2 linked regions of the Mytilus edulis genome follow. The protein of the gene in region 1 purifies or fractionates together with the protein of each later gene. This does not show direct contact. Links are inferred from orthologs where the notes say so. Each region holds a gene or a part of one and is shown in the gene's direction. Other genes may lie near its edges.

What was found. The genes of interacting proteins can lie anywhere in the genome.
Region 2: the proteins of succinate--CoA ligase [GDP-forming] subunit beta, mitochondrial-like (region 1) and succinate--CoA ligase [ADP/GDP-forming] subunit alpha, mitochondrial-like fractionate together in Homo sapiens (co-fractionation; 6 studies listed by BioGRID and IntAct, counting the BioPlex papers as one, with this or other methods). This does not show direct contact. The link is inferred for Mytilus edulis from reciprocal best matches to the Homo sapiens genes SUCLG2 and SUCLG1.

The regions. Positions count from the first base shown.
Region 1 is NC_092344.1:74,496,215-74,507,069, forward strand, and holds the start of succinate--CoA ligase [GDP-forming] subunit beta, mitochondrial-like, read left to right. Parts: upstream 1-6,068; 5' UTR 6,069-6,116; coding exon 6,117-6,185; intron 6,186-10,855. Other genes in the region: cyclin-D-binding Myb-like transcription factor 1, read right to left, coding at 1,380-1,456, 1,841-1,988, 2,515-2,567, 3,060-3,173, 3,583-3,925. UniProt on the Homo sapiens protein: GTP-specific succinyl-CoA synthetase functions in the citric acid cycle (TCA), coupling the hydrolysis of succinyl-CoA to the synthesis of GTP and thus represents the only step of substrate-level phosphorylation in the TCA.
Region 2 is NC_092347.1:96,972,942-96,983,165, reverse strand, and holds the start of succinate--CoA ligase [ADP/GDP-forming] subunit alpha, mitochondrial-like, read left to right. Parts: upstream 1-6,020; 5' UTR 6,021-6,116; coding exon 6,117-6,153; intron 6,154-7,426; coding exon 7,427-7,530; intron 7,531-8,320; coding exon 8,321-8,437; intron 8,438-10,224. UniProt on the Homo sapiens protein: Succinyl-CoA synthetase functions in the citric acid cycle (TCA), coupling the hydrolysis of succinyl-CoA to the synthesis of either ATP or GTP and thus represents the only step of substrate-level phosphorylation in the TCA.

The DNA.
Region 1 (10,855 bases):
GGAAGTAATACCTTTAGCCATGTTGGTGATCAGATAAGGGAAGATCAAAATATATTTGAAAAAAGTTTATTACTTTAAAGAATTATGAACAAATTAGATTTTCGAAAACAATTTTCACGGAACACTTATTTATGATTTCAACTTTGACTTTTCACCTAATTCCAATATCAACAGTTTAAAAACAACAGACCATGGTAATTTAAAAAAAGTAAGAATATTTTCCGTATCAAGTTAGTTAGTCGTATTAAACAACCGTACGATTGACAAGATATCGACACGCAATTACGACTACATCGGTTACTGTAGTTTTGTTTCTTTGTGGTTTATAGACATATCGTTTTTATTCATCGGGAAAGAAGACAAGATGGCGGATCTCGGAGAATTGATACTCTAAATTTAAAATCGATGGTGATCGCTTATCTAGCGGAATAAAACTTTAATATCTATGAATTTGAACATTTTTATACAGAATGAACATAATATCAATTTTTGATTTTTTTGCGAAGTTTCCCTTTAAGAACAGGTAGACAAGTATTTATGACATCATATGAAAGTTACAATTTTAAAAGTGTTATTGTGAAAATTCATAGAATTTGGTTGATTAATTTTTGGTTTTCGGACAGAGCTCAACAAAGAAATACAGTGTTACATACATTTTAGAAAGCCTTGCAGTGAGTTACAACATTTGAAATAAAATGTGTGTCAGTAAAACAAATGTTGTCTAATATATCAAGAAAATAATCCAGAACTTCAAACTTTGAAATCCAGCTATTATCTATTCTAATGCAATTATTTTGTATCAATGGTTCTGATTGGATGACAGTTAGCGTAAAATTCTCTATCTCCTTGTCTGTAACTAAGGTAGCCGACATTTTGAATTGCTGAATGTATTGACATGTAATTTCTACAATAAAAAGCCAAAAAACTAACATGTCGCACCTACAAATCTTCTTTTTATAAAATTTCATTACATTCTGAAGCGGCAAAGAAGCCAGAAACTCCTGGTGTTTATGTTTGACGCTGGAAGCATACCTATGACGTCACCTAATGTAGGGACCAAAGAAGATAACATCTTTTCGTGGAATTTTCTTTAATGAAGATTTTACACTGAAATAATTATTGGAATTTAATTATGAACTTGTTTTGCATTAGAATAGAGATAACTGTATTGTATTTGAAGCTTTTCGGACGTCCATCGGTAGTTTTACTGTGGCAAATACCTGTTTACCTGTCTCTACTACGTGTTGCCATGTAAACTAAATTTGCGACAGTAAAACTACCGATGGACGTCCTTAAAGCTTCAAATACAATACAGTTATCTCTAAATTCATCCCCAATAAAGGTCAAAGTTTAACTACATAGTATTTATAAATATTTACTGCACAATAACTGTTAATATTCTGCTGTAATACAGCAACTTCTTCCTTTGTCCACTGTCCTTGTTTCCATGTTGCACCTTTAAAGACATATTAAAAAAAATCAATAAAATCAAAGTGCACCTTATTCAGTAAAACTATGATTTTTGCTTTTAAAAGTGTGTTTTGATAAGAGTTTCAATCTGTTATATATTGCATTTCCAATAGTCAGAAATACTCAAGATCATCTCAAAGGGAAGCTGTTTCAAGATCACCTCAAACTTAAATTTAGACTATTTTTCAAATAACATCTTTTTTGTCCCAAATTGTTAAAAGATAATATAATTATTGATACTTCATAAACCATTTAGACTGTATCCTTATGTCAAATATCTTTTTTTGTGTTTTATCATTATTGAATTGTTATTTCAATGAAGTTCTCCCTCAAATCTTATTTTATTCATATGCTTCATTAATGTGTATACCCTTGCTATGAAGAGCATCCTTTTCATCTCTAGTTGTGAACCAAGCCTGAGAAATATCTGAGCTTTCTAAAGCTTTTCTGTTCCCAGAACCTGACTGTTTAGGGCCTCCAGCATCTCCTGCACTCAATAAGACTGATCCATTGGTTGCCTTAAACATAAAAGAGTATCTATTGAAATAAATAAAAAAAAATTTTTTAGTAGAAAACACATGGTTCTGCATACATGTACATGGAGTAAATGGATTCCGGAAAATAAAACAAACTTATTTTTAAAAAATTATATTGAAATACTGTGAATCAGATACACGATAAAATTATGATACTTATCTTATGATTAATTTAACTTATCTAATTCAATCATTTACAGACAAAAAGGTTATTTCAAATCTCAAATTATTGCAAGTTCATTTATTATAGTTTAGTGAACTGTTCCTTGCATAATAAAACAAAAATGGTTCACAGGACATTTTCACTATGAACAACCCTCTTTACTCTTTCTGAAGTTTGTTAAAAAGTCAAAGAAAAGTTGAGAACTTGAAAATTTGGTATTTTTTTTTTTTTTTTTAACTTGCATCGAAATCTGGGGGAAAAGAAAGACTGTTCTCCTTCTCTCCCATGTTAAATTTGTATGCCTATCAAATTATTTTTTTCCACCTTATACATCATTAAATTTACCTGAACTGTTTCCACTTTTTCTACAATGGTTTCATCAGTTGTCAAAGTATCCTCTGTAACAGAAATGAAATGTCTTAAATGCTATATATATATGGTACTTCTTTTAAATGTCTGTTTTTGGTTATTTTGCGTTGTTTTGATGCTGTCTTATAGAATTCGAAGGTACATATGTTGTAAAACACAAATGTAAGAAAGATAGTAGAAAAAATGTATGACTGTCTGTATAAAATCTGCACTTGTATAGTTATTTGTTATGATTTTAACATAACACTGAGAAAAGTTGACTCAGATTTATAAAAAAAACAAACTATATCTATATTTAGCTATTTTTAATGTTTTGTAAATATTTTAAACATTCTAATATTTACATACTAAATTATTTATTACGTGTGTTAAAATAACATTGTTAATGATTGTTCGGCACTCTATAATTTTATTTTTGTAATTGAATTAGTCTCTGTACTGATTAATCCACACTCTCATAGTGTTGTATGTCATGTGTTGCTATTTTTAGGCACTTTTTGGCTATTCATATATACATCTACCTGGAGCCACAGATAGCACATAAGACTGGCCATCACCACCTTCAATACGAAATCTTTTGGCTGCAGGTTCATCTCCATTTTGAGTATTTTCAATAGAATCCATTCCAAGGGATGCTAAAATTATATAAGAACCATATAATGTTTTAAACAAAACTTAAGCAATGATATTATAGGGGGACTCCTCTAATCTGACTGTATACTAAGATGTGTGGGTGGAACAGATTATTTTTTTTATTAAATGTAAAACAAAACAATGAATTGCAATTTTGTGTGCCTGACTCCATGCTTTATTGACTAGGATTGTCAGTTTTCCTACCAAAGATCAGTATTTTTTCACCAGGTATTTACAAATTAAGAATCTGAGACATCTTAGTTTTAAATCTCAGATTCTCAAGATTTTAATGCAATGTACATATTTATGATTTTTTTATTTTAAAATACCAGTCTCACATCTGTCTGTACCCAAAATCATATTTTGAGACCGTGCCTACCACCCTGACCCCTCAGTGTAATTTTCACTTACCAGCAGCTTCTTTTGACAGAATAAGGAACCCAGCTGTTGAAGATGGATCCATGTCAACAATGTTCTCTATGTCCTTCCATTCCTCAACAGCTACATCTGTTTGTTCTAAATCTGCTTCCCCATCTGGTACCTCTATCTTCAAAAGATGAGTCTTGTGAATTGTCTCCCCTTCATCACCATTGTCAATGGCCTCTCCTTGTAAATTTGCATTGATTGTAACATCTTCTATAGACGTTGTAGACTGTGTTAGGTCATGTTGTTCATTATATTGTATTTCTGATGTTCCGTTTGTACATATTTCTTGTACAACTGGTTCTGAAGTTTCCTGATTTGCTGTCTCCATAAAAAACACCTGCAATATAAAGATTCATTAATTATCTATAATGCCATATCTTAAATATATTTTTTATCTTGGATTTTCAAATTCAGTGTATATATATATAGAAATCAATTATGAAAATCAATGGAAATTTGAATTTGGTAAAGATTTGTGTTTTCATTCATTTTTTAAGATAATGAAATTAATACATTTATAATCTCCTGCTTCTCCATAATACATTGTACATCTATTTTGGTTAGAATTCAAAAAGATCCTTACATGGTGTCTTTCCGTAACTGAGAGTATATGTGACAGTAAACAGTGTCACTTATTAACAAATAGCTGGTGCTTTCCACAGGTTAAAATATCCTAGTGTAAATCATCCTCCCGAATTTTACCCTTATTGATTTACTAGCAATTCTAGAAAGACAAATACAAAATGTATAATAGAGCATGTTGAAGGTAATCTATAAAAATGGAGGACATGCATTTTTCATTTGGAGAAAATTACATGTATTAATAATTATACTAGTCTAGTGTTTTCCACTCAAGTTTAAAAATAACTCTACTATTTTTACTATCATGGATAAAATGCACTAGCATTTTTTTTTAGTTAACATGGTTAAGGAATAAGGATACAATACAGTAGTATTTTTAGGTATGATATAATATGTTAGATTTCTTTTAAAATAAAGTATTTTGTACCATAAGAATATAAAACCAAAGTTGTTAAGGTTGTTACAATTTTCAAGCCAAAAAACCCATCTACATTTGTACATATAGGAGTAAAATGTCAATAGGACATTTCCTCCTCCTCTATCATGTCTATGTTGCTTTAAATTGTGGAATGTATGAAAAATATATGATAAATATAATCAAATTAATTATTATTCAAATATATCAATTTCATAAAGATTGTTGCAATTATCTGCCATAGTAGGTTTTCTTTTTCATTTGTTTAATATGTTGTCATAAAATTGAGAAAGGAAATGGTGAATATGTCAAAGCGACAACCACCCGACCATAGAGCAAACAACAGCCAAAGGCAACCAATGGGTCTTCAATGTAGCGAGAATCATGTCTGGATCTATTTTAATATGTTCTACACAGTACAAATTTGGCTTTGTTGACGGCAGGTTTGGTTGTTTACAAAACTTAAGGACAAAAGGGATGATTTCAGCTTCCCAATTGTGAACTTTCAATTTCTATGTACATGTAGCAACATTCCAGCAGTGCCTGCATACGAAATATATACAGACAGATGTGTGGATCTGCTAATTACCCATCCAGAGCACATGAGATCAACTCCAGTTTTTTGTGACGATCATGTTGTTCAGTCTTTAGTACTATGTTGTGTTCTGTGAACTAATTGTTTGTCAGTCTTTTTTTTCTTTTTTAGCCATGCGTTGACAATACACCCTATATCGCTATTCCCAGCTGCTTGAACTTCTGACCTCATACAACAATCACTTGTCCATTGTGGTGTCAGACATTTTGTTTTATGACTTCAAAATTTTACGGGGACCTGTTTGATATCCGTTAATGGGGGACAAAAAGCGATATTAAGGTGTATTTATTTTTTGTGACTTACAAAATGACTTATGAGTTTAAATGGCGCTTCGGTATCTTTCGCCTCTCTCTTTTATTACAATGGCGCTTTTAAATATTACAGATAATTATTATTTATACATGTTAACAAATGTTCCAATTAATAATTTAAACAATGCAGTTGAGTTTATAAAAATTTATGATTGAAAGTGATTTTATGCACTCATAAACAGATTTGTTTTGATTTTATAATTTTGTCAACATATTGATATTGATTTATTTAGATTTTGTAAGCCACGGAATCATTTCATTTATCAGAACTTGAAAATGTAAAAGCACACAATATTACAGCTGATAAACACGTGGTTTTGACATTTTACAATGTTTTCGTACGGGTGATCAAAGAAGAGCCAGGATGAAAATCTTGTAAGTCCCAGGATGAACAGAAGAAAGTATTGCGGATGAATTTAGACTTATTGTTAAGCGATAATAAATAAGATATAGTATCATCAATTCAAAAACTTACTAATTTTAATGAGCAGAATTTGTATGTTTTTTCATTTTTTTGACGGCAATAACAATCGTGTTGCTGATAATCATAGGACTATTTTGTTTGTACAAAAGAAGTTCGAAGTATCGCGAGAGTTTGAGTTTCTTTTCGAGAAAAATGGCTGCGCCCATGAAAATGATAAGAACGTCAGTTAGACACGGTTTATTGCAAAGACTGTGGAATAAAGTAAATGTCAATGAGATCTGATTTATTTTCCAACACAATATATATATATTTGATTATATCAGGTGCCTGATTGCTTATGTTCTTCAACAAAATTACACTTTATAGCATCTATCAACATTACCAAGTTTTGACTTTCAAGCCGATAAGGTGACCAGTCACTATAATAATGTAAACATACACATGGAAAAGGTTTAAACTAGAACATTCTGGTCAGCATTGTTTTCTGAATTAATCTCGCAATGTCCTTGATATATACCTCCCCTAATTCGTGTAATTGGCTACAAGCCGATAAGGTGACCAGTCACTATAAAAATGTGAATCCGGGTCCGTCCGCCCTGATTCTGGTTCGCCCTAGTTTCTGTTCGCCCTAATACCTGTTTGCCCCGAGTCCATTCGCCCTGATTTTATTTTTTAGTATAGTGTTGCGTTGTGTGTATATAATTGAATGTGTTGAAGTCAGTCTACAATTTCGCCGAATATTTACGATGTATCATATTAACTTGTCTAAAGCTAGCTGCTATACTAAGTTATAAGTTTCAGTACATTTCAGGACTACAAGATATTGTGACTTCAAGGTATTGAGGACTAAGTTTGTATCTGTATGTAATTACGTTACTAGGAAATATAAGTTTCTGTGAATTTCAGCACTACATTGTATTTTTAAATGTAAAACAACTGAAGACAAAGTTGTTGTCTTGCTGCTACGAGGATAAGTTTCTGTGAATTCAAAGACTACAAAGTATTTGACATAAAACACTAAAGACTAACATGACTAAGTTATTCATATATTTAACTTTCTTGATACATTTTAACAATTTAAAAATATTCAGTAACAGTTATAACAAGATCAATTCCGAACTGTACTTCACACACATTTATTTCCTAAACGAATATTTAAAAGCACTAAATAGAATTACTATTAGTGAAACAAATACCAAAAACGCAGTCACACTGCTGTACATGATCACTTGTCATCAGTGTTTTTACCCATCCTTTTTTTTAATTTTTTTATAGACAATTCATATAACAATCAGTGATATCAAAGGTATCAAATGACACCTAATCAGCAATCAAAATTCAATCAACAGTAATTAAAAGTAATTATAAAATAAAGTGTAACAATGCAGCCAAGAATGTTATTTAATTAATATAAATTTGGCAAATATTCTGTATTTAACTTTTAATAGATATACATAAATTTTAATATATATATATATTGTTCATTGATGTAACATATATAGATATTTATATCATAATATAGGGCAAACGAACCCAGGGCGAACAGACTATCAGGGCAAACAAACTCAGTTCGAACAAACCTAGGGCGAACATGTAATCAGGGCGAACGATCCCGATACCTAAAAATGTAAACATACACAGTGTTCTAGGATTTTTTTGGCACCTTGACTTACCACGGGTAAGATCAATAAAAAAATTACTTACCCACATCTAAAAGTTTAATCCGCCAACCAATGCGGACGGCGCAAAGCTCGCCGCCCTTATGGCCGGGGGTCTGGGGGCCGCTCAAAAAACTTTTATGACATGCTTTAAATTATATGTTGTGAAGTTTGTCTGAACAAAGCTGGATTCGGATACGATTGAATTTTGTACAAAATTTAAAAAAAAACGATTTCTTACTAAATTTGACAAATATGTTATAGTTATTACTATGTCATTTATTAAGAGTTATAATAAATGCAACTGTAAGTTTATTTTCCTCCGATGACAAGAAAAAAAATCGTTTATGTCCCGATTTTAGCACCAGTTATCAATCCGGATTTTCCGATTTTACCGACACCGTGACCGACTTTTAGAATGATAGGTGAAGAATGTGGTCTCTTTTGCGCTTGATTACACCTAGTAAACGAGTGCTTGAATAAAAGCGCCGATAGACATCGACAAAATCTTCGATCTTTTATCAAAGTTTTTTCTCGTGATTTAATAAAAATAAAAAGCAGATATGGGAAAATTGAAGAGGACCGGGAAATTTCAAGAGTTTTTCGGCTTCCCCGAACTTGAAAATTGACTTACCACCGGGTGACAAAGGCTAAAAAATGACTTACCCGTTGTCCTAATCCACTTACCCCGGGTAACGGGTAATGGGAATCCTAGAACACTGATACACAGTGCTCTAGCTAGAAATCAAAAGGGGCAGGGTGCCAGTGGAGGGCAGGGCACTTTTTATGATAAGAAAAGGCACTGCTCATTTTTTTGTCTAAGTTTCTGTGTGTATCACGAGTTAACGAATCTCTTTGTTTTTTTTATTGTATATGTTGTTTTTTTTAAATAAAGATGCTTTTCAACTATAGTCTTTATTTCATTGTTTGTGTAGTTATGATTGATATGGTACATCTTCATCAACATATTATGTTTTTACAGTTCAACTTCACTCTACCAATTATCAAAGAATATGTGTTTTTTTTTGTTTTTTTGTTGTTTTTTTTTATCTATATAGGAATTATAGCTTTGAAAACATCATATGAACTGAAACAGAGAGCATTACTAATTTAACAATGTTTAGAACATGGATTGCTAAAAGTATAATTATCAAGTAGAAATTGCAATATATATTTTTTAATATGTTCAAAGACAGTTAATATCTTTAAGATAACATGATTATGCTATTATAAATTATTATTCAATTGGTAATTTATTCCCTTTTTTGGTACTAGATAATATTTTTAGAGCACAAATTTGTAATAAGCTAAAACAGGGGAAGTAACTCCGAAATCAATTTCCACCACGTTTGGGTTAATTAAAAACTGTGCTTGTCGCTAACAAGTTAAGATGGAAGGCATTTCTGTAAAGGCATAGTTTTATTTTGATGACTTAAATTCAATTCTAAAGTCATGAAAGTCTTCATTTATATACACTCTTCCATTGTGACTTGGAGATCGAAAATGCCGACCCAAGCTAAACACACTCGCTGACACATTCATCAAAAGTATGACAAAAAGATACATTGTCCTAATTAAATTACCTAGTTATTAACACCTTTGAAGTCTTTATCATTGTAATTGATTGTAATAAAATGATTAACCTGGGGGCAATCACACAGGTGTCATATATGTAATTAACTTGGAGATCAGAAATCGATGAAACAAAATTTTACCAAAACGGCACAAGATAATTTTGGAAAAAGACGTCAGGGCAGAAGGGCGCGGATGAAGGCACCCAGGGTGCAGCTGAGGGCACCCAGGGCGCGGCGCCCTTCTATTTTGGGCTAGCGAGACCACTGATACACATGGAAAAGGTTTAAACTAGAACATTCTGGTCAGCATTGTTTCCTGAATTAACCGTTATCTTGCACTGTCCTTGATATATACCTCCCCTAATTCGTTTAATTGGCTAATATTTTTGCTATCCCTTGGCTTAGATATGTACATCAGGGCTAGTAAAATACTGAGCTGCTTATAAGTCCTGGGCTAGTAAGCCATGCATTAGCTGTAACAAAAAATTTTAACCCTGGAAATTTACTTTCGTTTTAATTCATTGCTAAGTGGTTTGTTAAATCCTGAGAAGTACGAAAATAATTATGACGATATGGCTAACGCTAATTTGATAAAGACAGAAAATATTGAAATGTTTTCATCACCACATGTACCTTAAGCAACGGAAACTTTCAATCAAGAGGGACCCTTTCAGTACCCTATTTTTAGAACAAAACAACATTTCTGATTTTCAATTTAACAAAAATAGATTGTTGCGACAACTATGTAATAGATGCGCAGATAAGGGTAAATAACGCTACACAACACATTCATTGCTATGGACATTGTATATATATATATATAGACAATCAGCTGCAGTGATTCAATATTAAAGTGTAAACAGGAGTTATTCAAGAGGCAGTTGCACTATCAAAATTCTATTAGCTCAGTCTAGAAGTGATAATATTATTACACTAATGATTAAATTAATCATTTTAAATCTAATTACACTAATGATAAACTTAATTGTTTTAAATTGAATTTTTGATGTATCATATCTCCTCTACTGATCAGCTGAAAGTTTTTTTTGTCTTTTAGCTCATAGACTATTTTGTCATGTGACTGTGAAATCATCAATGTTTTTTCATGATTTACTCCTAAAGTATAGAATTTTATAGAAATAAATTATAAGGAATGACTGTAATATATTTTTGTCTAAATGAAATAACCTAAAAATGTGTTAACACTTTTTAAGTTACATTCCTATAATAACTAAGGCAGCCTTGTTTTCACAGCTAAGTTTATCCCTTAATAGCCTTGTCTCATTGATTTACCATGGTTAATCAAAAATGTATTAATTGAATTAAAAAATTAGTTATCAAGGCTATGCATTTAGTTTCTGTTCAAAGTCTCAAGAGTTCCCTAGAGCCCACTATAAATGAAATAATTTTACAAATAACAAACATATATATGTTATTACAGATTTAGAAAATTTAAGGAATAAAAAGTAGACAACTCATGAAAGTATCTGCAATAACACACACAAGTTATATTCTGTAATAACCCTATAGAGTTATATCTCTGACTGTACACAGGTTATTCAGCGACTGTTTACGAGAGCAATAGCACATTTTTGTTCTTGAGATATCAACTATTTTTTCATTGTTTGTGGCAAAACATCAAGTTTTGTAATGCATGTAATTATTAAATACCAATCTACAAATGAAGACACTTCATTTA
Region 2 (10,224 bases), on another chromosome or scaffold:
CTCTACTGACAAACTCGTACGGGTCTAGGGTATAAGTGCTATGGGCCATTTTAAAGGCAATAAGTACCTCTTCCTCTGGTATCATTGCCCACGTGGAGAATCTCTTCGTTTGGCCAGCCGGCAATAGTTCATTTTCGAATTTGTGATATACCAGGGTACCCCCTTATCCTTTTCTGACTAACTCGTACGGGTCTAGGGCATAAGTGCTATGGGCCATTTTAGAGGCAATACCAACCTCTACCTCTGGTATAATGGCCGATGTGGAGAATCTCTTAGTTTGGCCAGCCGGCAATAGTTCAGTTCGAATTCGTTGTATCCGGGATACCATATCCCCCCTTTACACCCTCTACTGACAAACTCGTACGGGTCTAGGGTATAAGTGCTATGGGCCATTTTAAAGGCAATAAGTACCTCTTCCTCTGGTATCATTGCCCAAGTGGAGAATCTCTTCGTTTGGCCAGCCGGCAATAGTTCATTTTCGAATTTGTGATATACCAGGGTACCCCCTTATCCTTTTCTGACTAACTCGTACGGGTCTAGGGCATAAGTGCTATGGGCCATTTTAGAGGCAATACCAACCTCTACCTCTGGTATAATGGCCGATGTGGAGAATCTCTTAGTTTGGCCAGCCGGCAATAGTTCAGTTCGAATTCGTTGTATCCGGGATACCATATCCCCCCTTTGAACCCTCTACTGACAAACTCGTACGGGTCTAGGGTATAAGTGCAATACCAACCTCTACCTCTGGTATAATGGCCGATGTGGAGAATCTCTTAGTTTGGCCAGCCGGCAATAGTTCAGTTCGAATTCGTTGTATCCGGGATACCATATCCCCCCTTTACACCCTCTACTGACAAACTCGTACGGGTCTAGGGTATAAGTGCTATGGGCCATTTTAAAGGCAATAAGTACCTCTTCCTCTGGTATCATTGCCCAAGTGGAGAATCTCTTCGTTTGGCCAGCCGGCAATAGTTCATTTTCGAATTTGTGATATACCAGAGTACCCCCTTATCCTTTTCTGACTAACTCGTACGGGTCTAGGGCATAAGTGCTATGGGCCATTTTAGAGGCAATACCAACCTCTACCTCTGGTATAATGGCCGATGTGGAGAATCTCTTAGTTTGGCCAGCCGGCAATAGTTCAGTTCGAATTCGTTGTATCCGGGATACCATATCCCCCCTTTGAACCCTCTACTGACAAACTCGTACGGGTCTAGGGTATAAGTGCTATGGGCCATTTTAAAGGCAATAAGTACCTCTTCCTCTGGTATCATTGCCCAAGTGGAGAATCTCTTCGTTTGGCCAGCCGGCAATAGTTCATTTTCGAATTTGTGATATACCAGGGTACCCCCTTATCCTTTTCTGACTAACTCGTACGGGTCTAGGGCATAAGTGCTATGGGCCATTTTAGAGGCAATACCAACCTCTACCTCTGGTATAATGGCCGATGTGGAGAATCTCTTAGTTTGGCCAGCCGGCAATAGTTCAGTTCGAATTCGTTGTATCCGGGATACCATATCCCCCCTTTGAACCCTCTACTGACAAACTCGTACGGGTCTAGGGTATAAGTGCAATACCAACCTCTACCTCTGGTATAATGGCCGATGTGGAGAATCTCTTAGTTTGGCCAGCCGGCAATAGTTCAGTTCGAATTCGTTGTATCCGGGATACCATATCCCCCCTTTACACCCTCTACTGACAAACTCGTACGGGTCTAGGGTATAAGTGCTATGGGCCATTTTAAAGGCAATAAGTACCTCTTCCTCTGGTATCATTGCCCAAGTGGAGAATCTCTTCGTTTGGCCAGCCGGCAATAGTTCATTTTCGAATTTGTGATATACCAGAGTACCCCCTTATCCTTTTCTGACTAACTCGTACGGGTCTAGGGCATAAGTGCTATGGGCCATTTTAGAGGCAATACCAACCTCTACCTCTGGTATAATGGCCGATGTGGAGAATCTCTTAGTTTGGCCAGCCGGCAATAGTTCAGTTCGAATTCGTTGTATCCGGGATACCATATCCCCCCTTTGAACCCTCTACTGACAAACTCGTACGGGTCTAGGGTATAAGTGCTATGGGCCATTTTAAAGGCAATAAGTACCTCTTCCTCTGGTATCATTGCCCAAGTGGAGAATCTCTTCGTTTGGCCAGCCGGCAATAGTTCATTTTCGAATTTGTGATATACCAGGGTACCCCCTTATCCTTTTCTGACTAACTCGTACGGGTCTAGGGCATAAGTGCTATGGGACATTTTAGAGGCAATTAAATGGACTGGTAATGTTGAGATTAAAGACTCTTATTGATCTCCGTAATTTTGAAGAATTATGTCATTGAAATAGTAATTGACAGTTTCTATTTTTCTGTTTATTATATTCCTTCAACAAACTATGTTTCTTGTTTTTCTGATCTTTTTAATTGTGTGATACTATCGTATGTATTGTATATTTTAGTTTTAGAATTGGACTATATTTGTAGACAACGAACAGATTATGGAATGCCCATATGACAATTAATTCCATTTAATTACCCTATATTTAATCATCTTGTTTTAATTACTATAGTTTACATTGATTCAATAATAACAACATTTTAATGTTCATAATTGTTTTGTGTTGTGTGAGGCAATGCAATTAAACTTTTCATTTACTTTCATTTTAAATGACGCGGACCTTGCAGAAGACACCTATTGGCTTACTATTTCCTAATTACTTTATATTGCTATAAATAGCATAACCATATTGGATATTAACAGCAAAAGTTATTTTATTGTCACAATCTAATAACTACCCAAAACATTTCATCGAACGCGGTTTTGATCTCATGAATATTATTGACGGCTAGCATCATGAATATTAACGCCGGCTAGATCCACACTAGTTCGCTAACACCGTAGTTTTGTGAATGTTCGTGTCATTATACCAGTCACTAATATTACATGATTCAAACTGCTGATAAAGTCTATAATTTGAATTTTTACATGCTTTATAACGCCTAAAACTTATGTTCCGCCCAGTTATGAATTCTTTTATTAAGTTGATCAGTGTTCATATACCTTAAACGATTCCAATGATTTATAACAGTTCGCCACTGCCTTACACAAGGTCACGGGTTTCCAGGCTGAATCTCCATTCACTGCTACATTAGGTGTATACCGTCCGACTCCCATATAAAAACGAATTGCCTTATTTTGTATCGAATTTATACATGAAAATGTTCTATCACCCCACACTGCCGCTCCGTAGCTGATTGTACTCCAAACAATCGAGTCATACAATTTTGTGAAAGAATCAAACGGTAGTCCTCCAAAGGATTTATATTAAGATATCACTAGTCCCAAGGCACGGTTGGCGGATGCTGCTACGTGTTTCGCCATAATTTGATAGTCCAAATGCTCCGTTAACACTAAACCTATGTATGTATATTTTTCCACCACATTTATGTCAAGGTCGCCACATTTAAAACTGTTTATTGTCCTTGGGGTCGAATTTGGTCGAAAATGAACAACGTTTGACTTTTTATTCTTATTCTCTGCACACCAGAGCTGAAGCCCATCTAGCAAAACTTGCAAGTCTGATTCCGAGCCAGCTAACAAAACAAGGTCGTCAGCGTAAAGTAGAATCGACACGTTTTCCTCGTCAATATTTATTCCAGCATTTAATGAACATATATACGTAACAAGACCGTTCACATACACATCAAAAAGTAATGGTGAGAGCAAACAACCTTGTTTTAGACCACATTGGACATTGAACCAGTCCGTTAATTGTCCATTTATCCGAACACAGCACTCTACTGACTTATATAACGACACGATAGCATTATACATATTCCCTCATATTCCAATATACAACTAATCGGCAAAAAGATATTGATGGATTAATTAATTTGAACCGACTGTAGATAGTTTAATTTTTGACTGATGTACACGCTCTAGTAACAATTGATGCAAGCTATACTTTATTGAAATTTTAAGTAAGCATTATATTCGTTATTATTTTTGCCAATTACCACGAATATAATGTCTACCCCTGTTAAAACTACAATAAAGTATAGTTTGCGTCAATTATTTCGATTCGGATTAGGACAATTACAGTAATTTCTATTTTCGATGTGTGCAAGTGTAGGGAGTTTGTGTAGGCTCTTGACTTCCATAGACAGTTTTCTTCTAAATAGTTAGTTCGATCCACAGTTTAGTTAAAATTGTGCAAAGTTGTAATTGTCAAATTTAAAATCAGTGTAAAAGAAGTTAACACATTTATTAACAATAACAATATTCGTGTCACAATATAACAGAAAAGTTATAATTTAACGTCTTCTTCTTTGGAGGTCATGATCAAGTTTTGAACAAGTTGAATGAAACGTTGCCGTATCTGGGCGTTTTTCAATAAAAAATGAATTTCAGACATAAAAAAATGGAAAATCAAATTGTCCAAAATTTTATTTCAAGAGTTATTTTGAATATCTCTATTATGGACATGTTTTTATATAAAAAATGCAATCTTAAATACTCTTTAAAATGATTTTATTTTCATAATTTATGTACTGTTTCCTAGGGGACATTTGTCCACTATAAAACTGCTTCTAAACGCACATCTTATTGCATTTTAATGTCTCTTATAGACATCCAGTTTGTTTTACTTTATATACTAGAACAATCTCCCTTTTTTCGGAATTGGAGAACCATTTTAATCGATAACTTATGAGATTAGACAGTACTTCACATATGAAGGTACAGCTCATGTTTTGTAGTGGACATTTTGATGAGTTTCGTAGTGGACAAAAAGTTTCGTAAATGACATCAACCCTATCCTATATTGATAAAAAATACTGAAAATTACATGAAACTAACTCTTGTTATTTGTTTTGCCGGCACAAATATAATTGAAAAAAGAGTAAAAAAACGACTGCATGGTAGTGGTAGTGTCCACTACGAAACGTTTTTCTCCCATACTTGTTTCGTAGGTGACCGTTTCGTAGTGGACATATTCACATGTTGTATCCCCCCCCCCCCCCCCCAAATCCCTATATTGCAATAGTAACAAGAATGAATCTATTCACCAAAGCACGTACTAAGCTGTACACTGATATTGTTTTCATAATTTTAAAACCAGATACTGAAGGAGATTTGACCCGTTTCGTAGTGGACATTAACTCAGTAAAATACGGTATCACTCTGGTCCATTTGATGTGCTCAATTTTTTTTGCCAACGATTTAACTGCCGTTTTAAAAGCATCACTTCTTTTGTAAGACCCTAATGTTTATATCTCTTGCAAACATTGATTTTATAGAACTTTTTATCATGTTTATTAGCAAAATTTAATGACTTCGTTTCGTAGTAGACATTTTGTCAGGGATACACCTTCTAAAAATCCATTGTTAAAAGTTCTTTTTATTAAAATATGTTGGCTATACACATACTTTTGAATAATTAAAGAACTTCTATTAAAAGTAAAAAATAAAATTCATTTCTACCTTTTTTACAATATTTTAGAGTGTGAATGTTGAACATATTGAACAGGGGGTCTAGGGACATGCCATTTTGGTTATTTAGAACCATTCAGGAATAAATATCTTATTAATCCCTTTAAAAATAGTATGTTTCTTTGCTTAAAATTGTCAAATCTCATAATATTAATTGAATTACTGGAATGGACTGACTGCACAAAAAAAATACTTCTTTTAAAGAACAACTGACACATTCTTTTAAAAGTGGCTGGGACAAGAATTTACGTTTTTATTGAAAAACGCCCATTTAGGTCAAATATGTCAATTGCGAATCATTGTATGTGTATTAGTTACAACATGTGCATCATTTAAAAGTTTAAAAGTAAAATCATTTTTCCGGGTATTCAATTTCCAATATACGCATGTGTAAACACATTTTATTGGATTTCGAGCATGGGTTGGTATACAAAGCACGTCATATTAGAATACTGCTTTTATTATGTGGAATTATACACGAAAAAAAAATCAGTCAGATAAAAGCCAGTCCCTACTATCCACTTGCGTTTGTAGGCGGGGCTGGCAGAAGGCTGAATAGAATCCGAAATCAGAACATCACTAATCCGGTGTAGAGAAAATTTTATTTAGCTTTACTAGCTTCCGGTTTTTCACGATGTCGACTGCCAGAAAAGTCCTTGGCAAAGTTTCTGGTAAATAACATAATTAATCTCCTCCTGTTCATGTTTCATCTTATAAAAAATCTTTTCTTAAACATGTGTTGTGAAATCAATACGAAAACTGGCATTGTGTTTGACCATGCTGGAGTTAAACATCACAGACACTTGTGAAAATCATAGAAATCAAATAATTTTTCTGTTCAAACTTGAAAGGGTGGGTTAAAAACCTCATAAGTGATATTATACACAGAATCGTGTAATATAAGGCAAATGCTACCTGCGAAAAAAGAAGAACTCCACATATATAAGTAGCTATTCAGTATTGAAAAAGAATTATACATTATAGATTTTTTTCCTAAACTGAATTATTTGTTTTATTTAGAAGGTCATGGCTTATTTTTACATAGATAAGATTAGTAAATCATTTTTTTTGGTATAATATACATGTTTTGAAATAAAAAAAAAAAGGATTCTTCATTAGCTTCATAAATGAGGACAAATAGGTAAACCATAGCTTGGGTGTCTCTCGTAAAATCTGCACATGCAAAAGGAATAAACTGAAAAAATGAGTTGCTGATGCACATTGACATTATGTGGTGTTTATTGTTGTAATTACTAATTATGAACAGATTTTTTTAATTTTTATTTCCCAAATTTCAGCATGTTCAGGGCAAAAAACAAACAAACCCAGAACCCTTCTCTGGATATGCCACTGGTGAAGAGACTGCCAATTTGATCATTGGTTGTTAGAAATCCTAAAAAAAAAATCAAGAACGTTTTCCACAACAAATTCAATGATAATAGAAATCATTAATTGAATATTTACTGATATTTAAAGAAATTTTTAATGTGACCAAGACTTTATAAGAATTTTGTTGAAGAAATACAATAAAGAATCATTGAATGTAACAAGAAAAGGCACTGTTGTTAATTAAGTGATAAATGCATTAATGTCGATTTTCATTTTAATTTTATTTGCAATATATTATAGTAGAACATGTACAGTATTAAACTTTAGTAATATTCCATAATTCTGTTGGTGTTAAACTGTTTTATATTTTTTTTTAGAAATTTGATCCTTTCTACTTTTTTCATGTCAACTAGAATATTTTAAAATTTCCGTCTGGCTAATTTGGTGTTTGTCTGACATTTTGTCAGTAAGACAAAGTTTCCCATTGGGATACATGTAAACTGGTTGAAGATGTACAAAATGTATATTCTAACTAAAGGTGTATATTCTAACTATCAACTATCTAGGTAATTCCACAGAAGATGGCAGTTTGATTTATATTTTATCTTTATACAGCTATTGGCAGAGTAGGAATCAGACACTGTTACACCAACTCACGACCTAACCTGCTGGTCAACAAAAATACAAAAGTCATATGCCAAGGATTTACAGGCAAACAGGTAAAACTATCTACAATTTGTATTTTATCAAAAAACTGAGTTTGATGAATTACAATTAGATTTTGTTTTCTGTTTTCTGAGATCCACAAAGATATGAAGAAGGAAAAAGGGATATATATTTATATAAGTTGAAATGCAATTGAATTTCCCTCTTGAACGTTCAACAGGTTCTCATATTATTTTGAGGAATACCAATGAAACTTCACACAGTAGCTATAGGTACACAATAGCAGATGAAGAGAGAATACATATGATTATTATACAGCATGTACATGTATATATAGTAAAATAGATGCTCTGCGCTTCAGATTTTATAAATTTGAAAGCCAATCCATTCAATTATATCTTTTTTTCACTTACTAGTACAATGTAAAAGATATGCATCCTATGACCTTTAATAGTAAGATTAAAGACAAGAAATATAAGATATTGTAACATTCAGAAATTGTTGCAATGTTTTTATCATTTGCGAAAAATGCAATAGGGTTATTAAACATGTTAAACTCCCATTTTGAAATTTTTTATATAAATTAAACAGGATTTTTCTCAATACAATGTATTGCAAAAATTAAAATTGCATTTTAGTCCAAAATGACAAAATTGCAATTATAAACTGATAAATGCACGCAATAATTTTAGAATTTACAGTATCAAAAAAGTATAGAAAAGTTGATATGAAATGACCAGTCATGTACATTTTTTTCAACTTTTAGTGTGTGGTTAACAAAAGGGCTTTAATACAGCTTAAAATGTGATTAAAAATTGCTGAAAATGTTGTTTTATATTAAAGGGAACATTTCACAGTCAGCAAGCTATTGAATATGGCACTAAAATGGTTGGAGGTGTGTCTCCAGGAAAAGGAGGACAGAAACATCTTGGACTTCCTGTGTTCAACTCTGTTCAAGAGGTAAGTATCAGGGCATGAAGATTATTTTGGCAGGCCACTTACCCCAGGAAAAGTGATAAAAAAAATCAATTTCCTGTTTGCAATTCCACTATCTCCTGTTGAGACAAGCAAAGTGGGAGTTTTGGGCCCCGGAAGAAAATTTTGAAATTTAGGATGCAAAATCCTGCAATCTGTGCATACTTTTTAGGGGTTTAACATATTTTGAAATTTAAACAAGTAATAGGGACAAATTATTTTATTTATTTACCAGAAAAGGACTTTCCCAACGGGATATTACAAAAAATGTATTAACTGGAATGTCAGTTCCCATGTAATAATTTACTTTCCCTGAGAAACAGGAAATGGTAATCTTTATGCCCTGAAGTATGTATGTGCTTTAGTTATTAAAAATATTGTCAGCTGAAATGTAAAACTAGGGAAGTCAAAGTGGAAGTCAAAGTGACCAACAACAAAAAAGTCATTCTTTTACAGATTACAGGTAAAACAATGGTGTTACTATTGTCATAAATATATGTAACCAATCAAAAGTAGGAAAGTTGTCATTATACTATTGCATGTTGCATTTATGATTATAGGCTTATATATATATCTTGTATCTGCAATATTCAGAGGTCATGTTGATGGTTGATAAGCGACATCCTGTCCCAAAATGTTAATACTTTTAATTTGAAACGATTCTTTATAAGAACTAAAAGATGAGGTTTGATTAACAATGAGACAACTTTCCAACAGAGACCTAATGGTGTAGATCTATGTAAACAACAATAGGTCACCAATCTGACCATATAAACATCAACTCTGACCATATAAACATCAACAATAGGTCACCAATCTCACCATATAAACATCAACAATAGGTCACCAATCTCACCATATAAACATCAACAATAATCAGCCCCATACCATATATATAATAGTAAGCAATATAGGCCCCACATGAAATAATGTAAAATATGTGATCTTTGAAAACTTTGTGATTCAGGTATTTGTTTTAGTATTTAAGTCAAATTTCAGAGTTTAATTAAATCTATTCACTGGACATGAATAGACTTCTGAATTATAATGCTATATAAATAATATACATGATTAAAAATTATAATAACTATTGAGAAATTTGGGGCATCCATACCTGGATTTCCTTTAGAATGAAATTCAAAACAGTGTGGCTGTGGCCATTGATTGACACATTAAATTCATCCATTGACTGGGACAATTTAGGTGAAGGTTTGTATGTAACGACCACTGCTCACTATGTACTTTTTAAAGACACTTAAACTATGGGGCCACCAAAGGTTCTCAACACCTCAATGAAGTAATTCGGGTGATTTATAACAATTATATAAATCAAAACATAAAGGTTATTCCTGATTATTTTTTCGAATTATTTTATAATTAAAGGCGTTAAGAAACCTTTGGTAACCCCACAGTTTAAATGTCTATCGTAGGTACGTCGTGAACAGTGGTCGTTAAAGACAAACGTTCACGTAAATTGTTCCAGTCAATGGATGAATTTAATGTGTCAATAAATGGCCACAGCCACACTGTTTTGAATTTCATTATATTAGAAATGCTCTAGACAAATGATTAAGTATGATCCCCTTGTTTGATTTAAGATCGAAAAACAACATTAAAAGGAAGTTTTAGGATCTCCTTGGTTCCTGCAAGATTTTTTGCATAAATATTTATTTAATACTTCTTTCTATATCTTCTGCATTGAATTTGTATAATAAGAGAAAAACAAACAGTGACTTTTATTGATTTTCTCTTGTCCTCATTAACAGACTGTT